2 linked regions of the Struthio camelus genome follow. The protein of the gene in region 1 purifies or fractionates together with the protein of each later gene. This does not show direct contact. Links are inferred from orthologs where the notes say so. Each region holds a gene or a part of one and is shown on either strand. Other genes may lie near its edges.

The links.
Region 2: the proteins of EPB41L3 (region 1) and NUMA1 purify together in Homo sapiens (affinity purification with mass spectrometry; 3 studies listed by BioGRID and IntAct, with this or other methods). This does not show direct contact. The link is inferred for Struthio camelus from reciprocal best matches to the Homo sapiens genes EPB41L3 and NUMA1.

What each region holds. Positions count from the first base shown.
Region 1 is NC_090943.1:117,998,272-118,005,662, forward strand, and holds the start of EPB41L3 (band 4.1-like protein 3), read left to right. Parts: upstream 1-4,379; 5' UTR 4,380-4,607; intron 4,608-4,950; exon of another isoform or gene 4,951-5,059; intron 5,060-7,391. UniProt on the Homo sapiens protein: Tumor suppressor that inhibits cell proliferation and promotes apoptosis. Modulates the activity of protein arginine N-methyltransferases, including PRMT3 and PRMT5.
Region 2 is NC_090942.1:224,086,113-224,093,208, reverse strand, and holds the start of NUMA1 (nuclear mitotic apparatus protein 1), read right to left. Parts: upstream 2,999-7,096; 5' UTR 2,914-2,998; intron 1,814-2,913; exon of another isoform or gene 1,680-1,813; intron 1-1,679. Other genes in the region: LRRC51 (leucine-rich repeat-containing protein 51), read left to right, coding at 3,313-3,353, 5,915-6,012, 6,108-6,319, 6,404-6,552, 6,668-6,998. UniProt on the Homo sapiens protein: Microtubule (MT)-binding protein that plays a role in the formation and maintenance of the spindle poles and the alignement and the segregation of chromosomes during mitotic cell division.

The sequences.
Region 1 (7,391 bases):
AGCCTCAGGTAAATCCTAAAGCACCTTCAGATTTTTGTTATCTTTCATTCATGAAAGGGGCTGAAGAGATGCAGTAGCAGGTCGTCACATAGTAATCCACTTAGCTACTTTCTGACTGAGAGTATTATGGGTATAAAAGTGGCGAAGGGCAATGCTGAATTAATTGTGGTAAATCTTCCATATTTCAGGATTTCAGCTGCAGTTTCATTTTGGCTAGGGCCAAATTTACTGATTGTTCTTTCAGCAGTGGGGTGGGTTTGGCTTTGGCTGGCAGAAAAGGACTTATTTCAAACAACAGACCAAATAAATCCCAGCGCTGAGGTCAATAAACCTGTGTCGAAAATAAATGTGAACTACTGTGTTACTGGAGTTGCACTAAAGGAAGAGTCATATCTCACCTTAGAGTTTATTACAATGGTAATATTGGCCAATTAGAGGTCTGTAGGCATTACATTTGAAGTGAAGACAGACAGAAAAAGGGTTGATCTGATTTCTAAATCTTACCTTCATGTGCTGTCTCACAGTGATTACTCTTAATTATGAGAACTTTGTTTCATTGCTATGCAGAAAGCTAAGCTGCATGAGTCATGAACAGATCAGTTTGCTTTTATTAAATTGGAAGTGGATGCAGTAATAAAAAAAAAAAATCAGTGCGACTCCAAAACCATCTACCCGTCTAGACATACAATGCCAAGCTCGTGTCTGCTGAGAAATATCTTCCTAATACTGCTCTAATAATACTACTACTTTTACAGTGCTTCCCATTTTTCAAAGTGCTGTACCCAACTAATTCATTGTTGGCTAAGCTTTAGAAGGCCTTTTGCTGAGTTTGATAGCATTTTTGTGTCTTGCTTCTCTGTAATGTGCTATTTTGAATGCCATGTCCAATCAATTAGGGAATCACAAGAATGTTTTAGGCAGCAGTTCCCGGGGCTGGTCGATAATCCTTGTCCCTTCTCTTCCAGGGTTGCCTATTCATCCTTTCCTGGCAGAGACCATGTGGCTCCCTATTTCCCTCTCCCATAAAGAGAGCCCTTGTCACAGCCAAAGGCTGTGGGCAGACCTGTTCTCCTTGCGGCTGCACTCCTCTAACTGATATCCCATGGGATAATTAGATACCCATGTGTGTGTGCCTTTTCCCTCCCCACCTGTAATTTACCTGTGTCTTGTCAGAGGCTCTGTTTGCCTTTTTCCCCCTGACTTTTCATGCAAGGAACTCTTTTTTTTTTTTTTCCCCTCGCCTTGCAGGACTTTCCCGAGAAAGTTGTATGTGCTCACTGATGCAGGGAAATTGGGAAAATTCAAAGAGATGGATGGAAAAGGGAGCGGAGGGCAGAGCTTGCCACCTGTTTTTCCTAGCTTAGTACTGATCTCCTGCGTGACTCTCACTATTGTTGAAACAGTTGGGTTGTCAGCATGCATCAGCTCTCCCAGCATCATGGTAGCTGGGTGCCATCCTCCCAAAAGGACGGGGTGCTGAGAACAGCTTGTCTTCCAGCCCAGCGTGGAAGCAATCAGATGTGCATCTAGCATCTTGCATAGATAAGAAATTGGAGGATCAATAAGAAATTGGAGGATCCTGGTCTGGGAAAAAGTGCAAGGAAGATATATGGCATAGAGGTGAAGAAAATTTGTGACATAAGGGCAAAGGAGAAATAGAGGGTAGAGAGGCCCCTAGCCTGGGAGGTGTGCTGCTAAAGGAAGGAGGAGGGAAAAGAGGGCTGAATGGGGATGGAGAAAGGGCAACGCGGAGCTATGGAAGGGGAAAGGGGAGGGCCCGGCAGGAACAAACTAGGAGAAGTCTTTTGCAGTCACTCAGGTGAGGAGGGGGTGATAGCCGGGTAGTGGCACACAGGGAGCTTGCACCTGGAGCAGCAGGTTATGAAGGGTTCAAAGGCTGTGCCTTCAAGTCAACTGACACAAGCTGCAAGCCTGTGTCATCTCTTACCCCTGCCCAGTTCATGCTGTTCTTAAGTAAACTAAATGTGTCACTTAAAAAACAAACTATGGAGGGAGTCACTGCCAGTCTTTTCCATAGTACAGAGCAGGAGCTGTGTTTTGTCATGGCCAGGGCGTTCCCCGATGGTGAGGAAGAGGTGCCCTGGGCTGGACTGAACATCGTATCGTGGGAGCTGAGATGCAGAGATGCTGGAATGGAGCCATTAATTAAACTCCTTCACTCCTGATAGCCAAGCCTGAAGCACAGCCCACATAAATGCAAGCAAAGAGCAAAACTAAAACGACTACCGCATAGCAAGGCCGAAGATCAGCGTCTTTTCTTAGCATTGGCTAGTGTGTGTGGTGATCTGAGCTTCCGTTCAGGTAAATTAACACTGGTATATCTCCAGTGAATTCAGGGAAATTATTCCTATTTCGTACCTGTATGGGAACAGTATGGAGTAGGGCTTGATAAAAATTACTGGAAGAATATATATTTTTAAATAATAATTTAAAAATGCAGATTCAACTGGCCAGCTAACTCCCTTCAGAATTAAAAAGTATTATTATTCAAAAAAGAAAAACTTTACTGTCGGCGCTGCTGTGTTTCAGAAATCTGAAATACAGGCCCCCATCTGTAACCCAAAGGTACCAGCTACCTAGTATCTCTTGCAAAGGTTTCCTGCTCATAAGAACAGCCTGTTAATGTCACTTGATGTTTTGAGGTTAAATCAATGTGCATTAAAGCCTTCTGGATCCTCGAACGAAAGATGCTATTATACATGCAGTATATCCACAAAAGGGATCCCCGCGTCTATTGTAATTGTGGGGCAAACCCCCTTGTGGTACTACCCAAGGACAACATATGTTGCTGTGATGCACTAATACTCCAGTGGCATATCTCTGCTTTAAAAGCAGTGTCCAGCACCTTCTTTTAAAATAGAAAGTACAATAGCCGCAAAAGGTTAAACTAGTAAATCTTACTTTGCTTTCCAATAAGGATACTTCTTAGGTCTCCCGTCTCCTTGCTTTTGAGACTCGATTTGATTCAAACCAACTCAGTCTTTTTTTTTTTTTAATCAAACCTTGTTAACTCCAATGTATGTCTTAGCTGTCAAGTACATTCCCTTGTGATTCATGATGACTTCCAGAGTTCCTAGCTGAGAATAGTATACAAGTCGTCTTATTTAAACTGCATGACTAGAGGTATGCCCTCTCTTAGTAGATGGCACACATTTTCCTTTTGAAGTCTCTCTATTATGCATGTTACAGTGTGCCAGAACTGCTAAATGGAAGCTCTGCATATGAACTGAAGAGACTTGTTATATTTCTGCATTAAGCACAGAGCAGCGCAGTTTTGCCGGTTCTGAGAAATGGTATGTCCGCCGCCTACTGTCAAGACCACTTTCTCTTCTTAAATCTCCCAGAGATGCTGCTAATTAAAGGGAGTATTTTTTCCCTGTCATGATTCATATCAGAGGCCTGAGTAAAATTTGGATCTATTATTTTTGGGAGCTCTCAAAATATACTGTCTAAAGAGGGAGTAAGCCTAATTCATCCACTCTGTTGCCGCAGCTTGAAGGCCCAGCATAAGAGCCTTTCGGTGCTTGGTTCTCCCTTCACCAGCCATCGTTACCCATCACGCTGCAAATGCCACCTCTTGAACAAGTTCATCTGCTTCTGGTCCCACAAATAGGCTAACGAGCAGCGCATCTGAGCACCATAGTGCGTCAGAGCCTCAGATCGAATAGCTGCTCCTATCGTGCACTGTTAGGCAGTGGAGAGCTTGGTTTCATGCTCTAAGAGACGCTGCATAATTAGTGAAAGTAAGATTATCCCCCCCGAAACTGCTTCTGTATGGGCTAGGAGCTCTTGTTGCTTCCTGACATGGGGCATGTTGTGGTCTGTATTGTATTAGGTGGCCTAGCAATAGTCAAAAGTTACTTTCAGTTTTATGTTATCATTTTTGGATCTGTAGCCTTGCATGAGACAGGGCCAGTATTTGTCTTTGTTTTGGTGATCATGTCAAGTGAAACATGGTCCAAATTTTTTAGAGCACATGTTCTGTGGTTGGAAATTAAAATGTGAAAGACTGCTACCCCCCACCACAAAAATCCCAAAGGTAAATCAAAGCCAGACCTTGTCAGCATCCAGCCACTGGTTTTAAGTTCCCGGGAAGATTCTCTATTGCTAGGTTTGGTTGCAACTGCAGCAGCTAAATTTGTCTCTCTATATAGCAGAATTCATTTCTGAGCCCAAAACCGGCCAGATCCCTCTGGACGCAGGTGCGGATCCGGGTCCTGCTGGGGATGCGTGGCCGGAGGGGGCTGCTCCCAGCTGGTGTATCTGGGGAGCATCACTGCTGCCCCTGCTCAGCCGGGGGGCCTTGCTCCAGAAGCCACCATCCAGCTTTTGCTATTTGCCGCGGTGTGGGCTTTTTTTTTTTTTCCCCTCCCCTCCTTCCCCCCCCTACTTTTTTTCCCCTCCCTCCCTGCCTCTCGCTGGAGGAGTCTCCCCCGCCCTGATTTGCTGGGGAGCGGCGGAGGCTCGCTCTGGGCAGAGCCGGGCTGCGCTGCCGCTGCTGACGCGTGGCCGCCGCCGCCGCCGCCGGGAGCAGCCCGCGCTCCCGCCCGCTCCGCTCCGCTCCGCTCCCCGCCGCCGCCGCCAAGGTACCTTCCCGCCGCTCCGGCGCAGCGGGCGCCGTGTCCTCCCCGCAGGAGGGAGCGGGGATAGTCCTCAAGGGCTGGGGGGCGCTTGCAGATTGCATCTCCCCCCCCCTTCCACTTTTTTTTTTTAATATATACATATATATAATGCATATATATTTATCTGTTTTATGTATGTAAATCTCTTTAACAGGAGCCATTTTTAAGTTAGCCGCTGCGGGGGCCGGGGGGGTGGGGGGGGGGAGAGGATGAAGCCGGGATGCCCATGCTCCTGGGGTCGGCGGGAGACGGTACCGAGCGGTGCCCGCGGCGGCGCTGCTGCGGTCGGGCTGCGCGCCGTGTCCGCGGGCGCGGAGGGCGCTTCCTGCCACTCCGCGGGGGGAGCGCGGCTCGGCGCCGGGCAGGAGGAAGGACGGCGGCACACGCGGCGTCTGTGGGAGAGCGGGTGCTGTGAGGTTGGGTTTGGGTTTTTTTTTGGGGGGGGGGTTGTTTTTTTTCTAATGTAGCTATATGCATTTCTATGGGAAACTTGTGCGGGCAGCAGAGGCCCCGGCGGTGCGGTGGGGGGGGGGGTGGGGGCTGGCTCGGGGTGCCGGGGGCCGGCCCCAGTCCCCGCTGCCGGGCTCACCTGGGCGGGGGGTGCTGCCTGCGCCGGGCCCCCTGCGATGGGGCACGGGGGAGGGGGTGGGGGAGGCGGCGGGGACCCCCGCCGCGGTTTTCTCCTTGCTCTGCCGGCCTGGGAGGCGAGCCCGGCGGTGGCGGGGGGGGCTGTTTTCCCTCTTCCCCCCCCCCCCCGGGCCGTGGCTTCTGCAATGCGGCGGGTGTGGTTATCGGCAATCACAGCCCCGCACTCTGCAGTGGCGGCGCGGCCCGGCCGCTCGCCTCGGGGTCTCCAAAACACCAGGTCCTGTCTATCCCGACGCCGGGCAAGTGGCTTGTGTGCGTGGCGTGGACCTGAGCGCGACTTACCCCGGGGCAAAGGCGTGCAGGTGTGCCGAAGTTTGGGTTGTGCTCTCTGCCTGCTCCTCGGTCGCCACGCGTAGCGTGGGACTCCGACGCTATGCATCCTCGCGGGTTTATGTAGTGTAGCGTGAAAACTTGTGTGTATTTTCACAGGTCTTAAAAGAAAAAAAAAAAAAAAGGGTGTGGCCGTCAAAGCTTTTGCTAATCACGTTCTAATAATTGCTCTGCTGTAGCTCAGTTTTATTTGGAGGAAGGAGAGAGGGGTTTGCGGGGTTTTTTTTTTTCCATTCAAAGACCTAAAACTTTATCATATATATGCTAACTCACGTTTCCATAATCAATAGAAGTAGTAAGATATACCAAATCTGTTTTTGCTGTTCACTGAAATTTGTTTTTCCTGTAACTGTTTTTGAGGGGAGGAAGAAAACATTCTGAAAGATTATTTTTGCTTTAAATTGTAGCTTCCAATGCATGCTTGTATTTGAGGCAGAGCGAACATACTTCCTTAACTCAACATGCACGTCACTTGTAAGCAGAAGAAAAAGTGCGTGTGTCACTTGAAGTCTTTTCAATCAAAATGATTATAAGTCAGAGGTCTTCTTGTCAAAGATGGTCTCTAGGTTAGGTGTGTCTCACATGTATGTCTTTTTATAGCGTGCAATCTAAATTACTTTTTTCCATTTTACATATAATATTGCCAGCCTTCTCCTACATCAGTAGTAAGCTGAGAAATTTGTTTTAAAAAGACAAACAAGTAAAATTGTAGGTTTTATCTGCAAAAAATGAGGATAAAAGCAATATATGTTACTTTTTGTCTAGTAAATCTTGGTCAAATGTGATGGAGTATAGGCTTTTTCTCTAAAGATATGGACGATAGTCTTTTCTTGGAGCATTAAAAGGTCAACGTCATCTTGGCATATCAATTATCTAGTTAAATTCATTGGTTTTGCTGCACCTATGTGTCTGTGTGTGCATTTGTAATAATACACACACATACGCATACTGTCACGCTGGTGTCCTTGGACTGGAAACTTTCAGCTCTAATGTGAGGATGAAACCTGCATATCAATAATGGGAAAAGAGAGACCAAGAAACCCGCATTAGAGTAAAGAGCAATTGTAAGTTTATTCCTTATGGTACTGCTGGCATAGGAAGGCTTCTGGAGCTTTTAAAGTGCTACAGACCTGTTCACTGCAGTGATGAATAATCAGAAGCAGAACATTAAACGCATTGGGAAGCATTAGAAATGTATTATTTTTATTTAATCAGACTAATACAATCCACGCTAACTCTCCCGGAGCTAATTTCTCACAGCCGCACCACTTCATTAATGATGCAGTTGATGGCCTTTTCCTCTAAAAGGCTAGCCAGTGTTACTGGGAGCACGTCAGCCGCATCGCAGGAGCTCATCGGATGGGAGCCTGCCTTTTAGCTGCTTTGCTGGTGGGCAGGCTTTGCCTTTGCGAGGAGGAGGAGGTGGCAGCTTGCAGCGCTGGGGCAGCAGGGTGGGGCACCCGCACACCAGCCTGCTCGCTCCTCCGCCTCGGAGCCGCCTGGCACACCGGGACCCTACCCTCCTTTCTGGGGGAACTGCAGCAAAACTGAAGAGGCCTAATTTTAGTCTGGGTTTTATTTTCTCTTCCAAGAAGGACCAAGTGAAGGTGAATCTACAACTCATGTGATTTTTGAATTAAACAGGGCGGGGTCTTTCTTATCTAGAGTGGAGACCTGCTAAATATTTACTTGAGGTCTTCTTGGTCTACTCTTGCCGAATGCTTGCTCTTTGAAAAAGATTTGCTCTTTACAGGTTTTTATTTGAGGGCT
Region 2 (7,096 bases), on another chromosome or scaffold:
TGAAGGCAGACTCCTGCCACCAAGCGTTTATGTGACTGCTCAGCAAACCCCACCCAGACACAGGGCTAGTTATTTTTCGAACTGATCTAGCAAAAAAGGCCTCAGCTCAACCAGTTCCCCAATCCGGTTTACTCTGCAGCTTCAGAAGTCCTCCTGCAGGCACAAGGAGGACAGCAGAACTGCTTCGTTCAGCAGCCACACCACCAATGTGTTAATGCCACCACCGCCTTAGCAACTAGTCCAAGGAATTTCCTGTGTAAAGCGTGCTACTTTGGCGCAGATAGCAAAGAACCTGAAAAAGCTAAAGAACCAGAAACGTGGTGGACATCTGCTTGCCAGTGAACTACCACAGAATCACAGAACAGTTGAGGTTGGAAGGGATATCTGGAGATCATCTAGTCCAAGCCCCCTGCTCCACCAGGGTCACCTATAGCACGTTGTCCAGCATCGCATCCGGGCGGGTTTTGCATATCTCCAGCGAAGGAGACTCCACTACCTCTCTGGGCAACCTGTTCCAGTGCTCTGTCACCCTCACAGTGAAGAGGTTTTGCTTCATGTTCAGATGGACCTTCCTGTGTTTCAGTTTATGCCCGTTGCTTCTTGCCCTGTCACTGGGCACCACGGAGAAGAGGCTGGCCCCATCCTCTCAACACCCTCCCTTCACATACTTCTACACATTTATGAGATCGCCTCTCAATCTTCTCTTCTCCAGGCTGAACAGGCCCAGATCCCTCAGCCTTTCCTCAGAGCAGAGATGCTCCAGGCCCTTCATCATCTGTGTAGCCCTCCGCTGGACTCTCTCCAGGAGCTCCATGTCTCTCTTGTACTGGGGAGCCCAGAACTGGACCCAGTACTCCAGGTGAGGCCTCCCCAGGGCTGAGGAGAGGGGCAGGATCACCTCCCTCCACCTGCGGGCAACACTCTGCCTAATGCACCCCAGGATCCCACTGGTCTTCTTGGCCACAAGGGCGCATTGCTGCCTCATGGTCACCTTGTTGTCCACCAGGACTCCCAGGCCCTTCTCGGCAGAGCTGCTTTCCAGCAGATCAGCCCCCAGCCTGTCCTGCTGCCTGGGGTTATTCCTCCCCAGGGACAGGACCCTGCTCTTGCCTCCGCTGAACTTTGAGGAGGTTCCTCTCCGCCCAGCTCTCCAGCCTGTCCACGTCCCTCTGAATGGCAGCACAGTCTTCTGGTGTGTTAGCCTCTCCTCCCACTTTGGGATCATCAGCAAACTTATGCAGAGGGTGCACTCTGTCCCTTCCTCCAGGTCACTGATGAGTATGTTGAACAAGACTGGACCCAGGACTGACCCCTGGGGGACACCACTGGGCTACAGGCCTCCAACTAGACTCCGCAACACTGACCACAACCCTCTGAGCTCGGCCATCCAGCTAATTTCTTATCCACCTCACTGTCCACTCATCCAACCCACACTTCCTGAGCTTACCTACGAGGATGTGATGGGAGACAGTGTCAAAAGCCTTGCTGGCACACAAGGGGGAAGACATGATGATTACGGAGCCTGGTCCTCTCCTGCTGCAAGAACCCACAGCATAATCCTGCTGCCGACTTTATCAAGCTTCATCTCAAAAGCAGCAAAGGTTTTGGATCCGTCTCCAGACTAACCCACTCAAAGCTTCCTGGAAAATCCCCGGCAAAGACAAGGATCTTGCACATACCTGCCTCGCAATCCCACCTACGCCGAGGGAGAAGCGCAAGGCGCTCGCAGGTCTGGCGCAGGTCTGGTCCCCCTGCCCGGCCGTGGGAGGGGGAGAGGCGCCAGATCACGGTCCCTCCGGCCACCTCCGTGTCCTGCAGCGTCACGGTCCCACACAGTCGTCCCCAAAGGGTCACCACCCCCCTAAAGCATCCTGTCCCCCCACCCCAGGTCACTGTGTCCCTCCCAGGTTCCCTGCTCCCCACAGCGGCCCCATACCCCCCCCCACCTCGCTGTCCCTCTGCTCCCCCCCCTCCAGGTCCCCGTTCCCCCCCCCACCTCGCTATCCCTCTGCTCCCCCCCCTCCAAGTCCCCCTTCCCCCCCCACCTCGCTGTCCCTCTGCTCCCCCCCCCAGGTCCCCCTCCCCCCCCCACCTCACTGTCCCTCTGCTCCCCCCCTCCAGGTCCCCCTTCCCCCCCCCACCTCACTGTCCCTCTGCTCCCCCCCCTCCAGGTCCCCCCCTTCCCCCCCCCACCTCGCTGTCCCTCTGCTCCCCCCCCCTCCAGGTCCCCCTTCCCCCCCCCACCTCGCTGTCCCTCTGCTCCCCCCCCTCCAGGTCCCCCCCTTCCCCCCCCCACCTCGCTGTCCCTCTGCTCCCCCCCCTCCAGGTCCCCCTTCCCCCCCCCACCTCGCTGTCCCTCTGCTCCCCCCCCTCCACGTCCCCCTTCCCCCCCCACCTCGCTGTCCCTCTGCTCCCCCCCCCTCCACATCCCCCTTCCCCCCCCACCTCGCTGTCCCTCTGCTCCCCCCCCCCCGGTCCCCATTCCCCCCCCCACCTCGCTGTCCCTCTGCTCCCCCCCCCCCGGTCCCCCTTCCCCCCCCACCTCGCTGTCCCTCTGCTCCCCCCCCCCAGGTCCCCCTTCCCCCCCCACCTCGCTGTCCCTCTGCTCCCCCCCCCCCAGGTCCCCCTTCCCCCCCCACCTCGCTGTCCCTCTGCTCCCCCCCCCCCAGGTCCCCCTTCCCCCCCCACCTCGCTGTCCCTCTGCTCCCCCCCCCCCAGGTCCCCCTTCCCCCCCCCACCTCGCTGTCCCTCTGCTCCCCCCCCTCCACGTCCCCCTTCCCCCCCCCACCTCGCTGTCCCTCTGCTCCCCCCCCTCCACGTCCCCCTTCCCCCCCCCACCTCGCTGTCCCTCTGCTCCCCCCCTCCAGGTCCCCCTTCCCCCCCCAGGCCCTAGGCCCCCCCCTCAGGCCCTACCGTATTCACTGTAGCCGCGGGGCCCCCGCCGGAACCCCCCGCCCCGCGGCGCAAAGCAGCCGACGCGGCCTCCTGCCCGATTCAAATGGCTGCGCCGGCCCCCTGCCCCCTGCCTATTGGCTGCCGACCAGGATACGTCAGCGTGGCCTTACGTCACGTGAGGTTGCGAGGCGGCGGAGGGCGGGGAACTACCAATCCCAGCGGGGCGAGCGCTCGTCCCGGCGTGCCCCGCGCGGGGCGGGGCGGGGCGAGGGGCTGGTTGCCGTGGCGACGGCGGCGCGCGGGGGGTGGTGAGCGGGGCGCCCGTGGGGCCGCGCGGGCGGTTAGGGGACACGCGTGGGGCCCTGTGGGGAGGAGCGGGGTGTGGGGCGTTGTACAGGAGGAGGGGGGAGATGTCTGATGCCCCACGCGGGGAAGGACGCACCTAGGATCCTGTGTGGGTAAGGGATACGCGTGGGAGCCAGGGCACTGGTGACGGGAGACATGCGAGTGGCCCCACGCGCGGAGAATGGGGCTCGAGTGGGGCTGTGTGGGGACGAGAACACATATGGGGACGTGGGGGGGGTGTCTGGCGCAGGAGGATGTGGGGAGGCAGGCATGGGGACGTGTGGGGAGGTGGGCCGGGGCAGGGGGACGCGAGTGGGTGCGGGTGGGAGCAGAGGGACAGGCATGGGGATGCCTGTGGGGGCAGGAGGACATGGGCGGCGGCTGGGGGACTCGCCGTGGGGCTGCGTGTGGGAGCAGGACGATACCCACGGGCACGTGCGTGTGGGGCAGGAGGACACGCGTGGGCACTCCCGTGGGGACAGGCGGATGCCCATGGGGATGCATGTGAGGACATATGGGGGCAGGAGGACATGTGTGGGGATGCCCCGTGGGGGGTTGGTGCATGGCCTTGAGGATGCCCGTGGGGGGCCAGGGACACGTGTGAGGACACATGGGGGCAGGGGGACACGTGTGGGGACACGCGTGGGGTGTGGGGACACCCATGAGGGTGTGCGCGGGGGCTGGGGACACATGTGGGGACACACTGGGGCAGGAGGACACATGTGGAGATACCCGTGGGGGGCAGGAGCACAGCTGTGGAGATGTGCACGGGGGCTGGTGACACGTGTGAGGACACATGGGGGCAGGGGGACACGCGTGGGGACACCCGTGGGGGGTGGGGACACCCATGAGGGTGTGCACGGGGGCTGGGGACACATGTGGGGACACACTGGGGCAGGAGGACACATGTGGGGGTTTGTGCGGGGGCCAGAGACACCTATGGGGACACATGGGGGCAGGAAGACGTGTGAGGGGATGCCCGTGGGGGGCAGGAGCACTGCTGTGGGGATGTGCACAGGGGCTGGGGACATATGGGGACATATGGGGGCAGGAGGACATGTGTGGGGACACCCGTGAGGGGTGAGGATGCCCATGGGGGTGTGCGCGAGGGCCAGGGACACGTGTGGGGACACATGAGGGCAGGAGGACACGCGTGGGGACGCCCGAGGGGGTGTGCATGGGGGCCGGGGACACGTGGGGACACGTGGGGGCAGGAGGACACGCGTGGGGATGCCCGTGTGGGTGTGCGTAGGGACACATGGGGGCAGGAGGACACGCGTGGGGGCAGGAGGACACGCGTGGGGACGCCCGTGGGGGTGTGCGTAGGGACACATGGGGGCAGGAGGACACGCGTGGGGGCAGGAGGACACGCGTGGGGACGCCCGTGGGGGTGTGCGTAGGGACACATGGGGGCAGGAGGACACGCGTGGGGACGCCCGTGGGGGTGTGCGTAGGGACACATGGGGGCAGGAGGACACGCGTGGGGGCAGGAGGACACGCGTGGGGACGCCCGTGGGGGTGTGCGTAGGGACACATGGGGGCAGGAGGACACGCGTGGGGACGCCCGTGGGGGTGTGCGTAGGGACACATGGGGGCAGGAGGACACGCGTGGGGACGCCCGTGGGGGTGTGCGTAGGGACACATGGGGGCAGGAGGACACACGTGGGGGCAGGAGGACACGCGTGGGGACGCCCGTGGGGGTGTGCGTAGGAACACATGGGGGCAGGAGGACACGCGTGGGGGCAGGAGGACACGCGTGGGGACGCCCGTGGGGGTGTGCGTAGGAACACATGGGGGCAGGAGGACACGCGTGGGGGCAGGAGGACACGCGTGGGGACGCCCGTGGGGGTGTGCGTAGGAACACATGGGGGCAGGAGGACACGCGTGGGGACGCCCGTGGGGGTGTGCGTAGGGACACATGGGGGCAGGAGGACACGCGTGGGGACGCCCGTGGGGGTGTGCGTAGGGACACATGGGGGCAGGAGGACACGCGTGGGGGCAGGAGGACACGCATGGGGACGCCCGTGGGGGTGTGCGTAGGGACACATGGGGGCAGGAGGACACGCGTGGGGGCAGGAGGACACGCGTGGGGACGCCCGTGGGGGTGTGCGTAGGGACACATGGGGGCAGGAGGACACGCGTGGGGGCAGGAGGACACGCGTGGGGACGCCCGTGGGGGTGTGCGTAGGAACACATGGGGGCAGGAGGACACGCGTGGGGACGCCCGTGGGGGTGTGCGTAGGGACACATGGGGGCAGGAGGACACGCGTGGGGGCAGGAGGACACGCGTGGGGACGCCCGTGGGGGTGTGCGTAGGGACACATGGGGGCAGGAGGACACGCGTGGGGACGCCCGTGGGGGTGTGCGTAGGGACACATGGGGGCAGGAGGACACGCGTGGGGGCAGGAGGACACGCGTGGGGACGCCCGTGGGGGTGTGCGTAGGGACACATGGGGGCAGGAGGACACGCGTGGGGGCAGGAGGACACGCGTGGGGACGCCCGTGGGGGCCAGGAGGACGCCCGTGGCAGCCAGACACATGCGTGGGGACGCCCGCGGTGTGTGTGTGTGGAGGGGGGGGGCTGGGGACACGGGTGGGGACATCCGCGGGGGCAGGAGGACAGGCGTGGGGTCGGGGCGGGGGACAGCACCCCGACAAGCGCCGCCCCGCGCAGGGGGGCCGCCTCCGCCGCCGGCCTCGGCCCCATGGCGCGGTGCCCGGCCCTGGCGCCCCCCCTCGACTTCTCCTTCCGCGGCGCCACCTCCATCCCAGGTGGGACCCCGGGGGCAGAAAAGGGGTGGTGGTGGGGGGGGGGGGGAGCCCCCCGGCGGGCACCTCTCACCCCCCCCCCCACCCCGCGCGCCCAGAGCTGCTGGCGCAGGAGCCGCGGGCCGGGGCGGCGGGGCGGGCGGCGGGGCGCTCGGCCGGCGGCCGCCTGCTTGCCGGCGCCCTGCGCCTCAACAACAACGCGCTGGGCAGCCTGGCCGGCCTGGCGCCCGCCCTCGAGCGGCTCCTCGAGGCCCCCGAGCGGCTCTCCTGGCTCGACCTCTCCTTCAACGCGCTGCCCACCATCGACCCGGTAGGGCGCTGGGGTTTGGGGGGGGGGTAGGGGGGGCTCCCCGCGCCTCGGGGCGGCTGCTCACGGCCCGGCGGGCGCCCGCAGGTGCTGACCGCCTACCGCCACCTGCGCAGCCTCCACCTGCACGCCAACGGCATCCGCAGCCTGGCCGAGGTGGACAAGCTGGCCGCCCTGCCGCGCCTGCGCCGCCTCACCCTGCACGGCAACCCCGTCGAGGAGCAGCCGGGCTACAGGTATGCTGCTCGCCCCCCCCCGCCTCTCCCCTGCCCCACCTCCCTTTTTTGGGGGGGGGGGGGGGTCTCAGCGCCTGTCCCCCCCCCCCCGACCGCCGCCTCCGCGCCCCGGCAGGAGCTACGTCATCTCCGTGCTGCCCCAGCTCAAGTCCTTCGACTTCAGCGGCGTCACCAAGCAGGACCGCTCCACCGCCGCCGCCTGGAAGCGCATGCAGGCCAAGCCCAAGGCGGCCGGGAAGGCGGCGGCGGCGGGGGGCAGCTCCCGAGCTGGAGCCCCCCCCCCCCAGCCCCGCGCACCCACCGGGGCGGCTGCTGCTGCTGCTGCTGGCAGGGCCGCGAAGCAGGAGGCTGGCGGGGAGCGGCTCGGCCTCGGGCGCCCTTCCGGGGCTGGCTTCGCCCCCGGACCCCGCGCCGGCCCTCCTCCCGCTCCCTCCCCTTCCTCATAAATAAAGCCCCCCCTCACCCCGGCGGCACCGCCCGGGGTTAAGGAAACAACGCCTGCGAACCGGACTCGTCCTGCAGCATCGTCCGCGAGGCGCTTTGG